Linked DNA regions of Mus musculus. Each later gene encodes a partner of the first gene's protein in a complex. Links are inferred from orthologs where the notes say so. Each region holds a gene or a part of one and is shown in the gene's direction. Other genes may lie near its edges. The genes, in order: Cdk2ap2, Mta2, Mta3 and Mta1.

Region 1 (4,635 bases):
CGCCATCCCAGGGCCTTAATTGTGAATTAGAGAATTCTAAAAAGGCATGATTAAATGCCAGGTTTTGTTTTTTTTGTTTGTTTGTTTGTTTTTTTGTTTTTAATTTGAGATTTGTTTGGGTTTTTTTTAAAGATTTATTTACTTTATATATCTTGAGAACACTGTAGCTGTCCTCAGACACACCAGAAGAGGGCACTGGATCCCACTACAGATGGTTGTGAGCCACCATGTGGTTGCTAGGAATTGAACTCAAAACTTTTGGAAGAGCAGTCAGTCTTAACCACTGAACTATCTCTTCAGCCTTTTGGTTTGTTTTTTAATAGTCTTTTAAAAGGAGATTTATGGGCTGGAGAGATGGCTCAGCGGTTAAGAGCACTGATTGCTCTTCCAGAGGTCCCGAGTTCAAATCCCAGCAACCACATGGTGGCTCACAACCATCTGTAACAAGACCTGATTCCCTCTCCTGGTGTCTGAAGACAGCTACAGTGTACTTACATATAATAAATAAAATAAGTCTTTAAAAAAAAAAACAGGGAGATTTATTTAGCTGGGAGTGGTAGTGCATGCCTTCAATCAAAGCATTCAGGAAGAAGAGAGAGGATCTCTGTGAGTTTAAGGCCAGCCTGGCCTACATATTGAGTTCCAGGTTAGCTAGAGCTAGATAGTGAGACCCTTTCTCAGAAAAAAAAAAAAAAAAAAAGTCTAGGGTGTTTTCTCTGACTGTACGTTTGTGTACTACCTGCTTGCTAGGTGCCCACTGAGAACAGAAAGAGATATTGGGCCCCCTGGAAATGCAGTTACAGATGGTTCTGAGGCACTTTATGTAAATGCTTAGAATTCTAACCTGGGTCCTCTGGAGGAGCAGCCTGTCCTCTTACCTGCTAAGCCATCTCTGCAGTCGCTTTTTTAAAAAGTGAGTTGAGGGCTAAAGCAGCAGTTCTGCAGACATATATGCAGACAAAACACTCGTATACATAAAATAGTTTTATTTTAATTTTAAAGTGAATTGATTTCAAGGAAATAGGAACTAGATGGCCAGACCCAGGTGGGAGTTTCATTAATGACGTCAGAACAATAATCAACCATGCTTCAACCCATATGGGGCTGGCTCTCATCTCTATTTCTCTACCCACTTCCAAGTTTACTTTCCAGGTATTACTGTCTTCATGTTTCATGAGAAAACGGAAACCTATTAGGGCAAGAAACTGGCGTGTGACTGTAATCCTTTAGCATTTCCGAGACAAGAGCATCAGGAATTCAAGGTCACCCTCCCCTACCCGGAGAGTTCGAGTTCTGACTGGGCTACTTGAGACCTTGTCTCAATCTCATCCCACCCGCCAAAAAGAGTCCAGGAGGAAACCATTAATGAGGTGTTGAGATTCCAGCCAAGGGTCTTGACCAGGGTCCTGACTTGACCTAACGCAATTCTTGATCTATGATGCTCTATCATTGTCTGTGGAGAGAGTAGGGGACTTAGGGTTCAGTGTCGAGCAGCGTCGTTGGCTGCCTTGGACCCACCTGCCTAGACCGAAGATTCAAACCAATCCAGAGAAGGAGCTTGGTAATGACTTTGGTGAGGGAACCGTTGCCATGGGAACAAATACAGGCCTGAGGCGCGCACATGCGCACAGCCGAAGGGGGGGGGACACGGAACCAGTGAAAGGTGACGTAAAACGCTCGGGGTAGGGCGGAGTGCTCACACTGTGGGAGCCGTGGCCTTGGGAGTTCTGAGCGGAGGGAAGTCGCGAAGCGGTGAGGACGAAGTGTGTTCGGCGGCCCGCCACACACCACCGGAGCAAACCGCGGGGACCAGACTGGCCCGCTGCCGAGGCCCCGCCTCTTGGACCTCGGGACTAATCGGATTGAAAGCGCGCCGGCCCCGGGCCCCGAACTCGCCAATTGAGGAGGACGACTGTCACCGCCCAATCCGGGGCAGACAGGTGCGAGGTCCGGAAGGTGGAGGCCAATCGGCAGCGGTTGCGCCCTGCGGGGGCAAGATTCAGCCAATGAGGAGGCTCGAGTGACAGCTGAGCGCGCCAATCGAGAGTGAGGACCGATCGTGCCCGCCCACCCTTCCGGCCGGAGCTCTATTTACCAGGGGCGTGCAGCTCGCTTGCCAATCAGAGTGCGGCTGAGCTGCCGGACAGCCAACCCCAGAGGAGCGGCCGGCTGGCGGCCGCCGCACTGAGGAGTTGGGATGTCCTACAAACCTATCGCGCCCGCCCCCAGCAGTACCCCGGGCTCCAGCACCCCCGGGCCAGGCACCCCGGTCCCTACAGGTGAGGCTCCAACTCCATCCTTGTTCGCCTTGTCCGGGCAGTCGAGGTCTTGGAGAGAAACCGCTCGAGTTTTGCAATCCGGGGCCTGCTAGACGAGCCTGGCTCAGCCTCAGTTTGCTGGCCTGAGAAGTGGGCGTGGTCACGTAGAGCTTGTAGGTGGAGCGCAGGGGGGAGGAGTGTGTCTCCGAAGTTGTTCAGAGTGGAATGAAGAAGCATGCCGTTGGAGGTTAGTCAAGGGAACAGTCCTGGGCTTGGAAATCTGTGACGAGGCCCTTGTCACACTCTGACCTCTTGCTGGTGTCGTTGCAGCCGGGAGTGTCCCATCGCCATCGGGCTCAGTGCCAGGAGCTGCCGCACCTTTCAGACCGCTGTTTAACGACTTTGGTCCGCCCTCCATGGGGTATGTACAGGTGAGTGTGGCCAAGAGCTTGCTTATGGCTGAGGACAGGAGATCCCCTCGGGGTCTGAGATCACGTCTGTATTTTCTTTTGACACAGGCGATGAAGCCACCTGGTTCCCAGGGCTCTCAGAGCACCTACACGGACCTGCTGTCTGTCATAGAGGAGATGGGCAAAGAGATCCGGCCCACCTATGCTGGTAGCAAGAGTGCCATGGAGCGCCTGAAGAGAGGTAAGTGAAGCCACAGGCCTGCCCTTGCTCTGCCCAGGACACAGACACTGAACTTTAAGACAGTTCAGTAAGGATGGAGGATATCTAGAGTCAGGACAGGACATTTGGGCCAGCCTCGATTGGAACAGAACGTGTACCTAAGGAGGGGTTTTAAATGAACTTTTCCATTTTCAAATGAGTCTGTTTCCAAGAAGGTGCCTGGGAACTCGGATTAGCCAACCCTTAATCCCATCCATCCTCATTAGATTAGAGGTGCTCTTGCTGAACCATGGAGCGGTGGGGGAGTGTCTGCTCTGAAGGGTGGCTGTGGACTGTTTCTGGGGCCCTGTTTATTACTTCCCCATCCTCACCGCACCCCAGGCATCATCCACGCTCGGGCACTAGTCAGAGAGTGCTTGGCAGAGACAGAACGCAATGCCCGCACGTAACAGGAAGCACCTTGACCTCCTCGCCGGGACCTTTCTGGCCACTGCAGAGCGCCTGCTTCTCCCTGGCCTTCGCGCCCCAAGTTGCTTCCTATCCTGGGCTTCCTGTCCTGTGTCCCTTAGTGGGCACCCTCCAGGAACCAGGTAGCAGATCTTCGTCCAGTTGGCTGTACAAACTGGTCTCCTCCCTCTGTGGGAGTGCTGGGAGGCCACTGGGAGTCCCTTCCATGACCTGCTCACAGTGCTGATCTGACGGGAGCTTGCTCCTCTCTGTGGCCCCACCACACAGCACTTACTCCTTAACTCTTAGCCCAGGCCACCTCCTGCCTCTTCAACAGGAGTGCAGAAGACCTTCCTGCCTCATCTCTGGGGCCACAGCCGACTCTTTTTTTGGTGTGTCTTTTACTAAATATGTCCTTTTTGTATAAATAAAAGATGCTTTGGAGTCATTCTCTCAGCCTTTCTGTGTGTGGTTCCTCTGGGGAAGCCTGAGTGGGCAGAGGGGAAGGGCAGAGCAGGAACTGGGAAGGGCGCTTGAACCGAGCTTTGCCTTCCCATCTTGTCCATTGCTACCTCCAGCTCTGCGCCTTGCAGCTGAAGGCCAGACAGAACACCAATGATGTCTGCATAAGGAGGTGCCACCAGGGGGCAGCGTAGGGCTTGGCTGCCTTCACAGCTGGAGGCACTATTGGACAGCCGGAGCCTAAAGGGCCCTTCCTGTAGATTGGCAGGCATGCCTGGCAGGGTGGAAATACCAGTTCACTTAAGCCTCTCCCGTGAACGTCCTAATGCCCCTACACCAGCTCCGCTTTAAAACCATCCTTGGAAGGCTCTAAATACACCGGGTCCCTGACTCCTAAGGGAGGCAGTTAGAGGCTCCTTCCCCCCCACCCCCAGCACCTTGGCTTGATGCTGCTATCCACTGTCCTGACAACTTCCACAAGGCTGGGTGTGGCTCCATGAGCCAGCCCCGGGTGTCTCGGCCTTTGTACAGAGTCGGAGCAGTTAGATGGGTGTCCAAATTTGAGAACCTAGCAAACATAGTAGGGAAGGACTTGGGCTTCATTAAGGGGATGGCCTCTACCTGGGCATGTAGCTAAGTAACCGTGAAATGCCAACCTAGGCAGAGGCAATTGAGAACTTCCAAATTCTGGCTAACTTTGGGGTACAACATTTCCTCTAACCTGGGCTCCCCCTAGGTCAAATCCCACCTCTTCAAAGCACACAGGAGGGCTGCCCTGACTGGGCCTGGGTGGGAAATGAAACCAAGAATTCTTGGGGTGTCCAGACAGCACAGAAAT
Region 2 (4,554 bases), about 4.8 Mb from region 1:
TGGCAGCATGCCCAAGGGAGGGTGTGAGTTTGGGGGGGGGTGGGAAGTGCCTGGTCTGCGGAGGGAGGCCTGTTGTTACACGTTGGGGTTGGAAGCAGGGCGGGCAGACCATGATAAGGAAAGCCAAAATGAGGCTTATGTGTGTGAGTGGAGAGATATTTAGATAGGAAATGAAAAGAGCTTTAGAGAAGCAGGCACTCGGGGACATTTTGGGTACTTTGGGACAGTGGTTAGTGAGTGATGGCCAAGGTGAAGAGGAAGATACTGTTTTGAGAAGTCTGCATAACAGAGAGGCTTATGCTGTAGTCTGGAGGCGATGCCAAAACATTAATAGAGATGATAAGCTAGGAGCAGTTCTCTTGGACTTCCCTGCCTTCACCATTTTTCCTCTCCATTCCAGTTAGTGTCATTTTTACTTATTTTTGCTTTGTCTGCATTTTCTCTATGATCTTTATATTGTAATTTTTTTTCACTTAGTTTTATCTTTTTTCTTTCCTTTTTTTTTTTTTTTTTTCTTTGTCAGGGTTTCTCTGTGTAGCCCTGGCTGTCCTGGAACTCACTCTGTAAATCAGGCTGGCCTTGAACATAGAAATCTACCTGCCTCTGCCTCCCTGGTGCTGGGATTAAAGGCGTGTGCCAGCACTACCCGCATCACTTAGTTTTCTTTTAACTCCCTTTTTCCCTCCTAGATTCTTTTTCAGGCTGCAGTCATGAAAGGGTTAATGAACTGGGCCTACCAAGTTTCCTGGCCCTTTGGGGTTTCCGGCTCCATCTGGCAGGGGCTGACCTTGGCCTTATCCAATCAGAAGGGGTAGGGGTGTGGTTCTTTTTGCCCTACCTCTGGGTTTTCCTAGAGCACAGAGAGACACGGACACCCCCACCCCAAATCTGTACCCCCATTTTTCAGGGGAACAATGCACCGATGAGCATGTGCCTGAGGTTTCTGTCTTCTACTTTGGTTGGCACTTAGCCAGGTTAACTGTTTCTACGGAGATTTCAGTGCAGGCCTCTTGGTGCCTCTTGGTGAGGAAGGTGTTGGCACTGGTTTCAGAGTTGCCCTTCTTGAAAGCCCACAAACTATTATTAGCCAAGTAGAAAGAGAAGGAGCATTAGGTTGCATGTGATGTTTCAGACACAGCAAGGAGTCCTGAAGTATGAAGAGGAGCTGGTAAATAAACAGCGACCATGTGTGCTATTTTTACTTCTTCTTAACTGGATTTTAGGACCTCGGACTGGTTGTGCAAGAAAGAGCTAAATATGATGTCACACTGTATTATGGCTCTGTTTGTGCTTTCTGCGTGTTGGCAGCTAGGGTTGGGTGCATTTCTGTGGTATCCTTATACTCTCACAGTATAAGGATGGGATAATTCCTTTGACGGAATTAAAGAGAGGATGGAACATCTACACTGAGGTGTAAGGCCGAAAGGGGGGGCTGGTAGGATAAGAGTGAGCTGCCCGAGGAAAGCAGTGCTGGGCAGCAGCTGAGGTAGGCTCTCCTTTACCAGACTAGCTAGCTGGCTAAGGTACCTGTTTCTGAATTAGTTTATGACTTGGTTTTTCCTCACTATTCTAGGGGAGTTTGAGGAGGAATCAAAACAGCCAGGGGTCTCCGAGCAGCAGAGACATCAACTGAAGCACCGAGAGCTTTTTCTTTCTCGGCAGTTTGAATCATTACCAGCCACCCACATAAGGTATAGGACGATCAGGGTCACTGTGGTCTATGTGCCCTTGTTTAGAAGATGGAGAGAAGGGGGTGGTGTATTGGAGATGGCAGGTAAGGAGGGCTGCTCATCCAGGACTTTTGGGTTTGTCCTTTTTCTTAGGGGGAAGTGCAGCGTGACTCTCTTGAACGAGACAGACATCTTAAACCAGTATCTAGACAAGGAGGTGAGGAGCTGTTGGGATAAGAGGGAGGTGAGAGAATGTTGCCCCTAAAGGCAAGTGAGGTGGTAAAGGGGCCACGGACCTCACAGCCGTGTGTGTGTGTGTGTGTGTGTGTCTGTGTGTCTGTGTGTGTCTGTGTCTGGAGAGACCTTACTGTCCATGCAGATTCCTTCCCACTAACCTCCTCTCTTCCTCTTCAGGACTGCTTTTTTTACTCACTGGTGTTTGATCCTGTGCAGAAGACACTTCTGGCTGATCAAGGGGAGATCAGAGTTGGTTGCAAATTCCAAGCTGAGATCCCAGATCGTTTGGCAGAGGGTAAGCAACAGAACAAGAAGTGCTTGAACATGAAAGTTTCTGTTGATAGCTTGATTTGGGGTACCAGTGTGGAATCTGCTAGGTGTTGTGTTGTGGCTCTGACAGGGTGAGACTTAGGAACATGAGAGAGACAAGTGGGCACAGCTGGGAGGGGAGTTCTGAGGTCTGATAGACTCCAAGCAGAGCAGAGGAAAAAGAGCCATTGTGAGTGACTATGAGTTATTTCCCTCTCTCCCTCCGTGGTGATTCTGTTGTTTCCTCAGGAGAATCAGATAATCGAAACCAACAGAAGATGGAGATGAAAGTCTGGGACCCAGACAACCCTCTCACAGACCGGCAGATTGATCAGTTTCTCGTGGTGGCCCGGTGAGGGTGGGTGGATCAGGAAGGTGGGCTGGGGAGGAATGGACTGAGTTCTGCGTCTCATCCAATTTCTTTCTTTCTTTCTTTCTTTCTTTCTTTCTTTCTTTCTTTCTTTCTTTCTTTCTCTCTCTCTCTCTCTCTCTCTCTCTCTCTCTTTCTTTCTTTCTTTTTTTTTTTTTTTAAAGTGGGCTTTGTTTTAGGCCTGGGCATTTTCTTTTTCTAATTAGTTCCTGAACCTGCTTGAATTTTGAAGGGGAGAACCCTTCTTGACTTCTCAATCTCTCTTTAGAGCTGTGGGAACCTTCGCGAGAGCCCTAGACTGCAGCAGCTCAATTCGGCAGCCAAGCTTGCACATGAGTGCAGCTGCTGCGTCCCGAGATATCACTCTGGTAAGTGCCAGCTGATAGATAGTTGGGCGTGTTGAGGCAGGAGAGGAGGGCGGGAGTCCTGAAGAAGGTGCTTAAAGAGTAGCAAGTCCTTAGCTTTGTTCTATATTTTTGGTAGTTCCATGCCATGGATACCTTGCAAAGGAATGGCTATGACTTGGCCAAGGCTATGTCAACCCTAGTACCACAGGGAGGCCCGGTGCTCTGTCGGGATGAGATGGAGGAATGGTCTGCTTCTGAAGCCATGCTGTTTGAAGAGGCTCTGGAGAAGTACGGGAAGGATTTCAATGATATCCGCCAGGACTTTGTAAGTGAACAGGACTAGGAGGAGGGAGAACGACGATGGAGCTAGGATCACATGCCATCTCATCCTGTTTGCTGTTCTTTTTAGCTACCCTGGAAGTCACTTGCAAGCATAGTCCAGTTTTATTACATGTGGAAAACCACAGACCGGTATATTCAGCAGGTATGGGTCAGGCTGGCTGGGAGGCTGGACCAGAGGCTATCTGCTTACCTCTCTGCTGTTTCTTTTGTTTGATTTCAATTTGTACTGAGATGCTCTGAATTTCTTTCTGTTTTTCTCCTTCTTACAGAAAAGATTGAAAGCTGCTGAAGCAGACAGCAAACTGAAACAGGTCTACATCCCCACTTAGTAAGTGTGGCAGAAAGGGAGATGGTGTCTTCCTTAATGATTGGGGGTAACCAGGAAGCAGAAGCAATTGTAGAAGCTGTAGCTCAGTGAGAAGCATGGGCTTAGTATGCACAAGGCTGTAGGCTTAATCCCCAGAACTCCAGAGAGTCGGAAATAGAAAGTAAAGTGGTGGTAAGAGAGACACAAGTGGGTTGTTTTCTTAACTAGCTTCTGTCTTCTCCTCTTGTTTCGTTCATTAGTACCAAGCCAAACCCTAACCAGATCATTTCTGTGGGTTCAAAACCTGGCATGAATGGGGCTGGATTCCAGAAGGGCCTGACTTGTGAGAGCTGCCACAGTGAGTTCCAAGGGGGGACAGGGTTGCTGGGGATAGGTGGTCCTAGGGTGGCTTATTCTCTGTCCTGGGAATTTGAGGATCTTGGGTGGCATATTTCCTGCCAGCAAATTTCCCTTCTCTCTCTACTCTTGTAGCCACACAGTCTGCCCAGTGGTATGCCTGGGGACCCCCTAACATGCAGTGCCGACTTTGTGCTTCCTGTTGGATTTATTGGAAGAAATACGGGGGACTGAAGACCCCTACCCAACTTGAAGGGGCTGCTCGGGGCACCACAGTAAGAATCAGTGGGTGGGAACTTGGCATGGTGACTGAGGCAGGTGGGTGAGTTAGAGGCCAGTCTGGTATACAAAGCAAGCTCCAGGTTAGCTGGGGCTACATACTTAGATATTGTCTCAACAAATAGAAAAGAATCACTGATGCCAGGCGTGGTGGCGCACGCCTTTAATCCCAGCACTCGGGAGGCAGAGGCAGGCGAATTTCTGAGTTTGAGGCCAGCCTGGTCTACAAAGTGAGTTCCAGGACAGCCAGGGCTACACAGAGAAACCCTGTCTCGAAAAAACAAACAAACAAAAAAGAATAACTGCAAGAACACGTGGGGATGGGGAGAGTAGTGG
Region 3 (5,005 bases), on another chromosome or scaffold:
ACATTATATTTTCGGTAGGATCCCCAGTAAAAGAGTTATGATAAATGATAAATAACAGCTATACTGTCAGCATACCAGAGCTCTTTTGTTTTCTTCCCTGGGCCAGAAGGGCTGAGGACTCACAGTTTGCAAGCTACCAGCGAATCTGAGGCTTTCCAGAGTACAAAAGAATCGACAGACACCTGCTATTCTCAATATTGGATGCTAGAGGAGCTTCAACCAAAATGCAGTCTTCTTTTCCCGGGACAACTCCTACTTTGGCACAGCCCTTTAAATCAGCATCACCAGGCACTCCAACCCACAATACTAGGCCAATGTTTATTGTGCAACAAGGCCTGGGTGTAGTTTGGAATGCCTTGGCTTTCCTAAAAGAAGTTATGTGTTCATTGGGGAGAGTCAGTCAGGAAGATCTCGCTCTGTATCCCAAGCTGGCCACAAACTGGAGCGCCTCCAGCCTTTGCCTATGGAATACTAGGGTTACAGGTGTTTAGTACTATGAGGACCATCTATATTCAAAACCTCATAGAGGGTGTGAGGAACGTGAAAAGGGATCTATAGCTACTCAGCATGGGAAAACTAGCCACTTAAGAGCTTTCTGATGGGACAAGTGATCCTACACCTGTAATATAACCCAGCACTCAGGAGGCTGAGGCAGGAGGCTACAAGAGCCAGCCTGAACTGAGACCCGTATTAAAACAAGTAATGTTGGTGAGGTAGCTCAGTATAGCCAGGCCTGACTATCTGAGTTCAATCTCTACTCCTATGATAGACCTATACATATATATCTCATAGCATTCATGCCCTCACATGATAGATAGATAAATAGATGCATGGATGGATAGATAAGTAAATAAGTGTATTAAGAATTTAAAAACAAACCAACAAACATGAAAAGTTAGTTCTATAGTTAAATGACTAGCCTGTGCAAAGACCTGGCTTCAATCCCCATTAATGCAAAAAAAAAAAAAAACCAAAAAACCAAAAACGGGGATTGGGGCGAGGACGTGCTTTTTGACATAAAACTAGTTAGCTGACCAGCAACCCCAAGCTGTTAGACACGACCTCCTCCTTTTGATGGGGGGAAAACTGCGGATTGTGGAAACCCTGTTCTTCTACCGGCAAAGGAAGCCCTCTTGTGCTGAAGGCCTCCCCTGGTCAAAGCACACGCTGTACACAAAGCCTGTTTAGAGGCAGGGCTAGAGGATGTGTGTGTGTGTGTGTGTGTGTGGGGGGGGGGGTCGGTTTTGTTCAGCCCAGTTTTGGCACAGCCACGACTGACCTGCCAGTGTGGTCGGGGTGAGAAAGTCAGCTTCCAGTTCTTTTCATAGCTGGGTCTCAGACTTGAGCAAGCTGCAAGTACGTAGGGTCTTCTTGGCCCCAGGGCCTGTAGGCTCTAAAGCCACCAAACGTCCTCTCACCACGAGGGAGGGACGCAAACAAGCATCTGTCGCTTGCATTGGCTGCATCGGAGAGTTGTACCCAGAAGGGCGTTCGTGTGCTTGAGGTCACACATAGAGGGGTGTCCCTGGGGAACAGAAGCAGGAAAGGAGAACCTGTCCCAAGGTGGACAGGTGACGCGGGCGAGAGAGACGCTCGGAGTGGCTGAACCTCTGTCCCCACCCTGGTTCTTCCACAGCCCCTGACCCTGGTGTGCTACCCCGAGGCTAGTGCGGGTGGCCCCTGGGGTCTTCGGCCCCCCGCAGCCCGCCGCCCCGTTCCCGCCGTGCTCCGGCCTCCCGGGCCCGCTCGGCGTCGCTCTGCCGGCGCTGGGGGCGGGCACAGCCCCCTCCCTCGGTGTCCCCTCCCCGTCCCTCCCCCTCCCCCGTGGCGAGGCGGCGGCGGCGGCGGCAGCGGCGGCGGTCGAGGCTGAGGCGGCGGCGGCGGGCGGGGCTCGGCTCGGGCTCCGCGGGCGGGCGGGCGGACATGGCGGCCAACATGTACCGGGTCGGAGGTAGGAAGGCTCGGCCCTTCCCGGCCCGTCGGGGAGCGGGCGGTGGGAGCGGGGGTCCGGGCAGCGCACGCTTACTGCCAGCAGCCCGGGAGCCCGGGGCTGAGGGCGCCGCGGGCGGGGCGCAGGGGGATCCCCACCCCCACTCCCCTCCCCCACCGCTCCTGCCCGGCGTCTCGGGGCCAGGCCTCTTCTGGGGACACGCATCGGACACCCCCTTTACGAACGCCCCAAAGGGACAGAGCCCCTGCAAGCCCCCTAGCTGAGTGGTCTTTCCCTCGCGTGGCTTTTGGGCACGAGGGAGGGGGGCTTGAGCACCCCTCACCCCAAACCCCGGCTTCTGCCTCGGTGTTAGCGTGGGCTGGGGACGATGGTGGCCCAGGTGGGGGGCAGAGCTCGACAGGCCTGTTTGCAGAGCCCGGGCCCTGCACCGTCGCTGCTTCACCCCCCATTCCCTTCGGTTTCCCGTTCAGTCCCCCTGAGAGTGGGGCTGTGTGTGGGGCCAGGGAGCCGCAGCCCCAGGTAGGGAGTAGAGCTCAGCCTGGACGTTGGCTCTGCTGTCTGTCTTTCCAGCCTTCTGCAGAAGAGAGAGAAATAAGGTCAAACAAACTTTCCCTGCTCACGACGCCCTCCCTCCCTCCTTCCTGGTAAAATAATAATTCAGATAAGTGGCGTGTTTGTGAGTGAGACTTGCTCTTCCGTCTTTGCTCATTAGCCGAGCTCCTGATGGATGATGGTGGGGGAATGGCCTGGCTAAATGAGGCCACTTAGCAGCAGAGGGCTGGGAGAGAGCCGCCTAGGTAGACCGTGACTGTGCAGTCTAGTCTCTCAGGTAAACACATAGTGGGAAGTTTCCAGCCACTCTGTAGAGGAAAAATCCTGTACCTTTGGTTGAAAACTTGCCATGGTTTCTTTATAAGAAGGGTCTAAATGGAGTTGAATCAAATATAAAAAAAGGGGGGAAAAAAAACAACCCAACACCCAGCCCCTATTCCTCACCATCCCAGGTAGAGCAAGGAAAAGTTTGATACCTGCTTGCCCTTACACATTCTGCCTGCCGATTTTTTTTTTTAAGTTGATGTTTGAAATGAATTTGGGCTGTTAAGCCTTTCTTTTTCTCCTGATTTGTCTCAGGTCAACACTTTTATGTAAGAATCGTTGTTGAGGGCTGGTTGGATTGGAGGGATGAGGCGCTAGTGGGAGGCTGCGTTGATGAGCTCTGATACATAGTGATGAAGGGGTTTGCCTATCATGTTGTGGTGGGGTTGTTTGGTTGTTTGAGGCAAGGTGTCTACTTAGGCCTAGATGCCCTAGGATTCAGTCCTAGACCAGGCTGGCCTCACAGAGATCTGCTTGCCTCTGCTCCATAGGTGCTGGGATTTAAGACCTGTGCTTTTTGTTGTTGTTTGAGGCAAAGTCTTGCTATGTAGCACGAGGCTGGCCTCTGCTTTGTGATTCTCCTGCCTTTGTGTCCCACTCCCCCCAATTACAGCAAGCCATGCTTTTTTTTGTTTTTTTTTTTAAATTAAATAATTAATTCAAGGGTGACCACTGTGGCACATGCCAGTAAATTCAGCCTGTAAGTGTTGGGCCAGGAGGCTTAGGAGTTGAAGGCCAGTCTCAATTACTTCACCAGTTCTTGCCAGCCCGGACTGCTATTTTCAAAAAGAAAATGAAATGTAAGCAGGATGTGGTACGTGGTACATACCACTAATCTCCACTTGAGTGTGTGAGGCTGGGGGATGTTGAGTTAGTTCTAGATGAGCTTGGGCTACTTCGTCAGGGGTGGGAATTCTAGGACGGTGATAAACTTGGAACCGCTTACAGAGGCTGCCTTACAGTGGCTTGCCTACTTCCTAACGCATAGGGAATTGTAGCCCAAGAGATGGTGGCTCACCTTTAATCCCAGCTCTCCAGTCCTGGGCAGAGGCAGGCAGGTCTCTGCTGTGAGTTTGAGGCCAGTCTGGTGAACAAGGCAAGCTCTCTGAGACATGCCGAGCTATCTCATGTGACCCTGTCTAAAACAAAACGGAAAATAAACAAAAACAAGAAAAGGGCTCTGAGCTGTCAAATGTGAGCTCTTGGTTGAAAAGACCTGTGCGTTTTTTGTTTGCAGACTACGTTTATTTTGAGAATTCCTCCAGCAACCCGTACCTCATCAGACGGATAGAGGAGCTCAACAAGGTGAGTGAGCAGTGTGGCATCACCTGGCCAACACCGAAGCGCTTCCCCTTTAAGGGTTACTGGGTAAAGGGCCCGAGAGGTGATTTTTACTTTCAGTTCCAGGCTAATTACAGAGTTCTGCAGGCATCTGAATATTTGTTGGCTTCTTATAAAGATTTTTGACCCATGTTACGTTTGTTTCTTCAGATTGCTTTGAACCTTGAAGATCAGGCCAGTTGTGTGTAACTTGACTTCTGTTCATATTTAAGACTGTAGGCATGTTTCATATTTAAACATTAGGCATGTTTGTTTGAGCTAGGCTTACAATGACTTCCAAAAAAATCTCAATCCTCCTGCCTCAGTTTCCCAAGCGCTGTTTCACATCTGCTAGTGAATGAGTATATTCCTCCTCGAGCTTTAGAAGGAAGAATCTAATTTGGGCGTGGTGGTTCATGCCTAGAGTCAGGGGCATGGCAGCCCAGTGTCAGCCAGTCTCAGCCTCCACCCCTCCCCACAACACACAAAATTGTAAAATGAGTCGGCGGCGTGACAGGCACCTGATACCTAGTTTGAGTTTGTCCTGCGTTGTATCACTGAGACTGTCTTAAAAAAACAAAATGAGAGGCTGAGGAGATGACTTGCAAGCATGAGGACTTGAGTTCAATTCCCAGAATCTGAAAGAAAAACCGGTTTAGTGGCTCAGGCTGATAATCCTGCCCTGGGGCTTCCGCACCAGCCAACCAGGCTCTCCTACTTGGAGAGTTCCAAGCTAGCAAGAGAGACAGAACTCAAAAATGAAAGGAAAAGAAAATGAGCTGGCCAGAGCACACACCTTTCTTTAATTCTGGCACTAGGTAGGCAAAGGCAGAGACAGGTGGGTTTCTGAGTTCAAGG
Region 4 (5,018 bases), on another chromosome or scaffold:
GAAGTCAGCCGTGACCACCTGTGCTTTGGTTGCCATCTTTCCCCAAGGAAGAAGAGGACTGAGGCCTGCAACTGGGGCTGGAGGGCTACCTCTGGGGCGGAGGCAAACTGAGGTGCTACAGACTATGTCAAGTCTATGCCCTCTGCCCTGACCACTGCCTAGATGTTATTTGGTTAGCTTTTTGTTTTGAGACTGGGTCTATGCAGCTCTGGTTGTCCTGGAATTCACTATGTAGACCAGAGTGATGTTTCTTCTCATTGCTCAGGGAGGTGGCCTAGGCCTTGAGACCCTTCCATGGGTCCAAGCGTCATGCAGATTTCTTGCCTAGTTATGTACAGTGCATTAGCCCTGAGCCCCCCCCCCCCACGCCTAACCCTCACCGTGGCCCACAATGCTTTCCTGAGCGCCATTTACTCCACTCCACAGAATGCACCTCAAAGAGGACGCCGACTTGGCGGCCATAGACTTCCACCGACAAAGTAACCCGCCGTGCTCAGACTCAACCAGAACTCCCAGTCAGCTCCTTTTCACTGCCCCAACTGTGGCAGGGACAGGAGTCCCATCAGGGACACAACCTTTTGTCCTCTGGCCTTGGGGTAATGTCTAAGAACTCCCTCTTCACAGACCTTAGATAAGCAAAGGCAAGCCCTTAGTCACAGATGCCACAAAGAGGCACCTTCCTCAGCACCGCAATGCCCCACGGCTTATGTGGTCTTGGCTTCAGCTTGGGCTTGTGGGAGGGAATCCAAGCGAGCAGGGAGGTACACGGAGGGAGGCCTGGCACTTCAGGAACAAGCATGACCGCCTTGTTCAAGGATAGTCATGATGTTCCTGGGTGACTGAAGAGGTTGGACAATGGGGGACACACTGAGGACCCCTACAAGAATTGGAAAGGATCCCTACACAGGGGTGCAGGGAAGGGCTCACATAGAAGGACCCAAGGCAACCTTGTGAGAAACTCCCAAGGAGCCAGTCCTAGGAGGGCTCACCTTGTCAGGTATGTGAGAGGTCTCTGGAGGTGACCTGGGGTTGCTGAAGACTAGGTGAGCATGGAGCTTGGCGGGGGTGGGGGGAGGGCAGGGAAAGGGTCACCAATGGGTGCTGAGGGCCAGGAGGGAATGGGCCTGGAGAGTGCTGGAGAGTGCCACTGGAGGATGCCCGAGTCATTTGGGAGGGGTCGTGGAGAGCCTCCCAGGTAAGCTGAAAGACCATGTAAGAGGGCCATCCAGGGATGTCGAGGACCACTGAGGGTTAAAGAAGGGCCACCCAGTGGGTGCCGAGGTCCAGGCGGGCGTGGGCCTGGAGAGTGCCACTGGAGGATGCCAAGTATCATTCCGGAGGGGTCGCAGGAGGGCCATCAATGATGTGGAGGGCCAGCCACTCTAGGCGGGTTGCAGGAGTGCGTCCCAGGGACGCAGGGTGTGGGCCTGCCGAGGAGGACCACCTGGGGATGCCAAGGGCCACTCCAGCAGTGGCTTCGAAGGACCTCCAAGGGATGAGCAGCTGACCCAGGGATGCCGAGGACCACTTTGGAGAGGATGCAGGAGGGCCACTCGGGATGCCAGGGCCACGAAAGCGTGGGGCTCCGGATGGCCACCCGGGGATGCTGAGAGCCAGGCAGGAGGGGTCGTGGGAGGGCGATCCGGGGATGCCGAGGACCAGGCGAGCTAAGGGCTCAGAAGGGCCACTCGGCCAGGGGCACGCGGGCCGGCGCGGCGCGGGGTCGGGTAACGGCCCGCGCGGTGGGCGGCGGCGCCCGAGGCCCCTCCCCGCCGCCCGCGGCCGCTCCTCCTCTTCCTCTCCCGCCCGCGCCGCGGCCCTCCCGTCCCTGCGCGGCCTCGGCGGCCTCGGAGGCGGCGGCGGCGGCGGCGGCGGAGCAGCGCGGTCCCTTTAAACCGCCCGCCGGCGCCCCCGCGCCCGCCCCCGCCCCGGCCCGCGCCCGGCCCGCCGCCCGCGCTCGCGCCCCGCGCCCCGCGGCCCCGCCGCCGGCCCGGACATGGCCGCCAACATGTACAGGGTCGGAGGTAAGGCCCCGCCACGGCCTTTATGCGCCGCGGGCCCACCGCCCGCGCCTCCCGGCCCCGCCGCGGCCTCCGCGCCTCCCCCACGCCGCCCTCGCGCGCGGCCCGCGCCCCTCCCCCCCGTCCCGCCCCCGTCGCGCTCGCGCCCCGCCCGCGAGGCTCGGTTCTGGTCTCCGGTGCTCGTCCCGGCCCAAAATGGCCCCTGGGCTGCCGGTGCCGGGGCGCGCGCGCGCGGGGCGCCGAGCGGCGCTGGGAGGGGGCTATGCCCACCTGTTGGGGACCGGGGGTGGCCCGCGGGACGCAGGCGGAGTAGCGGCGAGTGGCCAGGGTGGCCAGGGCATCCCGGGGGCCGGCGGGCCCGGCGGCGGGAGGCCTGGGCCTGGGTCCGGGCCGGAGCCCCTGAGCAGGAGCACGTGCCTCTGGAGCTCTGGCTGCGGTCCCGCGAGCAGGAGTTTCGGGGTCTGGGGGGCAAGCGGTCTCCTCAGGGGGCCGTGCAGGGCCCGCTAGGTGTGCAGGCACCGTGAGTCCTGTTGCAGGGGCCACGAGCCCGTCCCAGCCGAGGGCTTTCCTTAGCAGGGATTCCTGGGGGGGAGGGTTGGCTACAGCAGGGGGCCTACATCCCAAGTGCAGGTCTGAATCACCCCAAACTTTTCTCTGCCTTACTGCTCACCCCTGCCTAGCAAGGAGGCACTTTCCTGGCCTTTGGAAGGCCAGAGGTCCCTACTGACCTGGGGCCATGAGAGCCTGTCTGCCCGGGCTGGTCCCCCAGTTGTTGGGCCCTGGGAAGAAGCCCTTTGCCCAGTTTGTGTATGTGTGTGTGTGACCAGGATACTCCGGAATGGCCTTGCACACATCCAGGCCATGCTGACCCTTATAGTTATCCCATAGCCTTCTTCTGCTCTCTCTCTGGACTTGGAGACCCTCCTGGTCACAGCCTAAATGTGGATGAGTCTGCTGCTGTCCCCCACTAGCAAACTTGGGCTTTGCTGTGAGAGTGTGCTTGAGTGCAAGACCACCCCGAAACACCCATCAACCACTCCTACGGAAGACCCCGACCCCTGAGTGCCTAGGTCATTTCCTTCCATCTCACACCAGCGGGACCCAGCCAGCTCAGTTCTGTGGCTTGGGGCACAGGGGTGCAGCTATCTCCACACGGATGGCTCATCCTCCCACAGCAGGCCTCCCACAGCAGGGGCCTCTCAGGGAATCCCTGATCTCACACCTTTGCTCTCTGCCAGGACCTGCCACAGGTCATACAGCCTGGGGTCATATGAGGAGGGGCTGGTCTGTGAGGATTCAGCCTTGCCAGCCCCAGAGGGAGTGGGCCAGGTCACTGGATGCTATAGGCTTACTGGCCTGCTTTCCAGGGCAGAGGCTAGCTCCTGGCTCCCCAGGGGGCCCCCTTCCAGGTGTTGCCCCTTATTCTGCCCAGTGAACCATTTTTGCAAGGATCCCCCTTCCTGTTCACCATGGTTCCTGCTGATATGGCTGCTGCTTCCTCGGGTTCTACCTCTAGTTCCCTCATTTCAGAGGTTCTCCTTTGCCCGTGAAAGGCTCCCATTATCCTGGTCCCTGACCCTGCTCTCTATCTGGACTTGGAGCCCCTCCTCCTGGTCACAGACTAAATGTGGATGAATCTCTTCCCCCACTAGCAAAACTGGGCTCTGCTGAGAGTGTGCTGGAGTGGAAGACCACCCTGAAACACCCATCACCACTCCTGTATGACCCTGACCCCTGGGCCACCTCCACCCCCCACCCCTCCTGGTTCTCATGGTTTCTGGCCCATGATGGCATGTCATATGCTGAAGAAATGAATAAATAGCATGAATAAATAGCAAAAGAGTGAAGGTCTGGGCTCCTGCATCTGACTCAGGCAGTGGGAGGTGGTGAGAGCGTGGAAGGTGGTCTGCAGGGCACTGAGGTCTCAGCCCGTTTCCAAGAGTCCCACAGCTGCCTGCCTGGCGGAGGGGCTATAGCCAAGGCCCTAGCAATCTGGTGAGGTCCTAGACTGGCTCATCTGTACCTGTTTCCCCACGGCGTGGCTAGAGATCCATCCCTGTTTTCATCCTGTGTCCTATATCTGCTCCTCCAGGACATAGCTGGTATCCTGGAGTGTCTGAGGCCCCATGAGGATAGGTGGCTGGACCCTGAGCCTGTGTGTCAAGCAAGTATGTATGACTAAGGAGTAGGGATAGGTCTGTGTTCCTATGTATATGTTGGCTGCCAAGCGTGGTCTGGGGTACCATCTGTATTGCCTGTAGTGCTTTGCAGGGTAGTGGTCCCCAGAGGGTATCCATGGCAGGTGAAGGGTCAGCCCCTAAAGGACTTTTTGGATAGGGAACTCTAGTGCCATCCTGGGAGCCCCAGCACGGCCTTGCAATGGTGCTCTGGGTGGTGGCTGTTGGCTTCCTGCCCCAGTCACTGCTTGCCAGATTCTCAGGCCCCCAGATGAGAGAGGACACACTGTGGCTCCCTGAGCAGGCCTTGGTTCAGTCTGTTGTCTGGGCTCTGGCCCCCTGGGAAATGTGTTCTGAATAGTGGCTGGTGGAGACCTAGGTTGGGGTATCTCTGCCCCCACCCCACCCCCTTCTTGGCACACGTGTCAGGTTTAAGTTTCAGGAAAACTGCCTTGCCCCAGTGTCCCAACTGTGAAGGCATGTGGACAGGAAAGATTGGGATTTGCAGCACAATGTTTGGGCGTCCTGTACTCCCTGGCAAGCTTGTCTGGAAGACGTGTTAGGGTGGGTTAGGCCGGTGAAAGTATGGGGGAGGAGGTTGCAGGAGCCCCAGAACACTTGGGCCAAGAGGTCAGCCAGGGTGGAAAGATAGACTGCATCTTAAGAGGTGGGCTTGCCAGGCTCCTGCCAGCGCCTGAGAGCAGGGGTGGGTGTTGGGTGAGGGTTTGAGAGGCTGTCCCTACTGAGAGCTTGGATTAAGGCTGAGGACATCCTAGGGCAGGCACCTGTGTTTCTTACCTGTGTGTCTGTTGTAAAATTA

What was found.
Region 2: Cdk2ap2 (region 1) and Mta2 share a complex: the UniProt entries of both Homo sapiens proteins name them as parts of the nucleosome remodeling and deacetylase (NuRD) repressor complex. The link is inferred for Mus musculus from reciprocal best matches to the Homo sapiens genes CDK2AP2 and MTA2.
Region 3: Cdk2ap2 (region 1) and Mta3 share a complex: the UniProt entries of both Homo sapiens proteins name them as parts of the nucleosome remodeling and deacetylase (NuRD) repressor complex. The link is inferred for Mus musculus from reciprocal best matches to the Homo sapiens genes CDK2AP2 and MTA3.
Region 4: Cdk2ap2 (region 1) and Mta1 share a complex: the UniProt entries of both Homo sapiens proteins name them as parts of the nucleosome remodeling and deacetylase (NuRD) repressor complex. The link is inferred for Mus musculus from reciprocal best matches to the Homo sapiens genes CDK2AP2 and MTA1.

What each region holds. Positions count from the first base shown.
Region 1 is NC_000085.6:4,095,229-4,099,863, forward strand, and holds Cdk2ap2 (cyclin-dependent kinase 2-associated protein 2), read left to right. Parts: upstream 1-2,122; 5' UTR 2,123-2,197; coding exon 2,198-2,279; exon of another isoform or gene 2,280-2,483; coding exon of another isoform or gene 2,484-2,505; intron 2,506-2,588; coding exon 2,589-2,689; intron 2,690-2,776; coding exon 2,777-2,909; intron 2,910-3,269; coding exon 3,270-3,337; 3' UTR 3,338-3,789; downstream 3,790-4,635. UniProt on the Homo sapiens protein: Acts as a component of the histone deacetylase NuRD complex which participates in the remodeling of chromatin.
Region 2 is NC_000085.6:8,944,183-8,948,736, forward strand, and holds part of Mta2 (metastasis-associated protein MTA2), read left to right. Parts: intron 1-1,573; coding exon 1,574-1,691; intron 1,692-1,823; coding exon 1,824-1,887; intron 1,888-2,084; coding exon 2,085-2,202; intron 2,203-2,465; coding exon 2,466-2,568; intron 2,569-2,854; coding exon 2,855-2,954; intron 2,955-3,069; coding exon 3,070-3,258; intron 3,259-3,342; coding exon 3,343-3,417; intron 3,418-3,544; coding exon 3,545-3,603; intron 3,604-3,842; coding exon 3,843-3,940; intron 3,941-4,074; coding exon 4,075-4,214; intron 4,215-4,554. UniProt on the Homo sapiens protein: May function as a transcriptional coregulator. Acts as a component of the histone deacetylase NuRD complex which participates in the remodeling of chromatin.
Region 3 is NC_000083.6:83,704,335-83,709,339, forward strand, and holds the start of Mta3 (metastasis-associated protein MTA3), read left to right. Parts: upstream 1-1,849; 5' UTR 1,850-1,923; coding exon 1,924-1,951; intron 1,952-4,064; coding exon 4,065-4,132; intron 4,133-5,005. UniProt on the Homo sapiens protein: Acts as a component of the histone deacetylase NuRD complex which participates in the remodeling of chromatin.
Region 4 is NC_000078.6:113,096,422-113,101,439, forward strand, and holds the start of Mta1 (metastasis-associated protein MTA1), read left to right. Parts: upstream 1-1,856; 5' UTR 1,857-1,996; coding exon 1,997-2,024; intron 2,025-3,948; exon of another isoform or gene 3,949-4,016; intron 4,017-4,113; exon of another isoform or gene 4,114-4,189; intron 4,190-5,018. UniProt on the Homo sapiens protein: Transcriptional coregulator which can act as both a transcriptional corepressor and coactivator. Acts as a component of the histone deacetylase NuRD complex which participates in the remodeling of chromatin.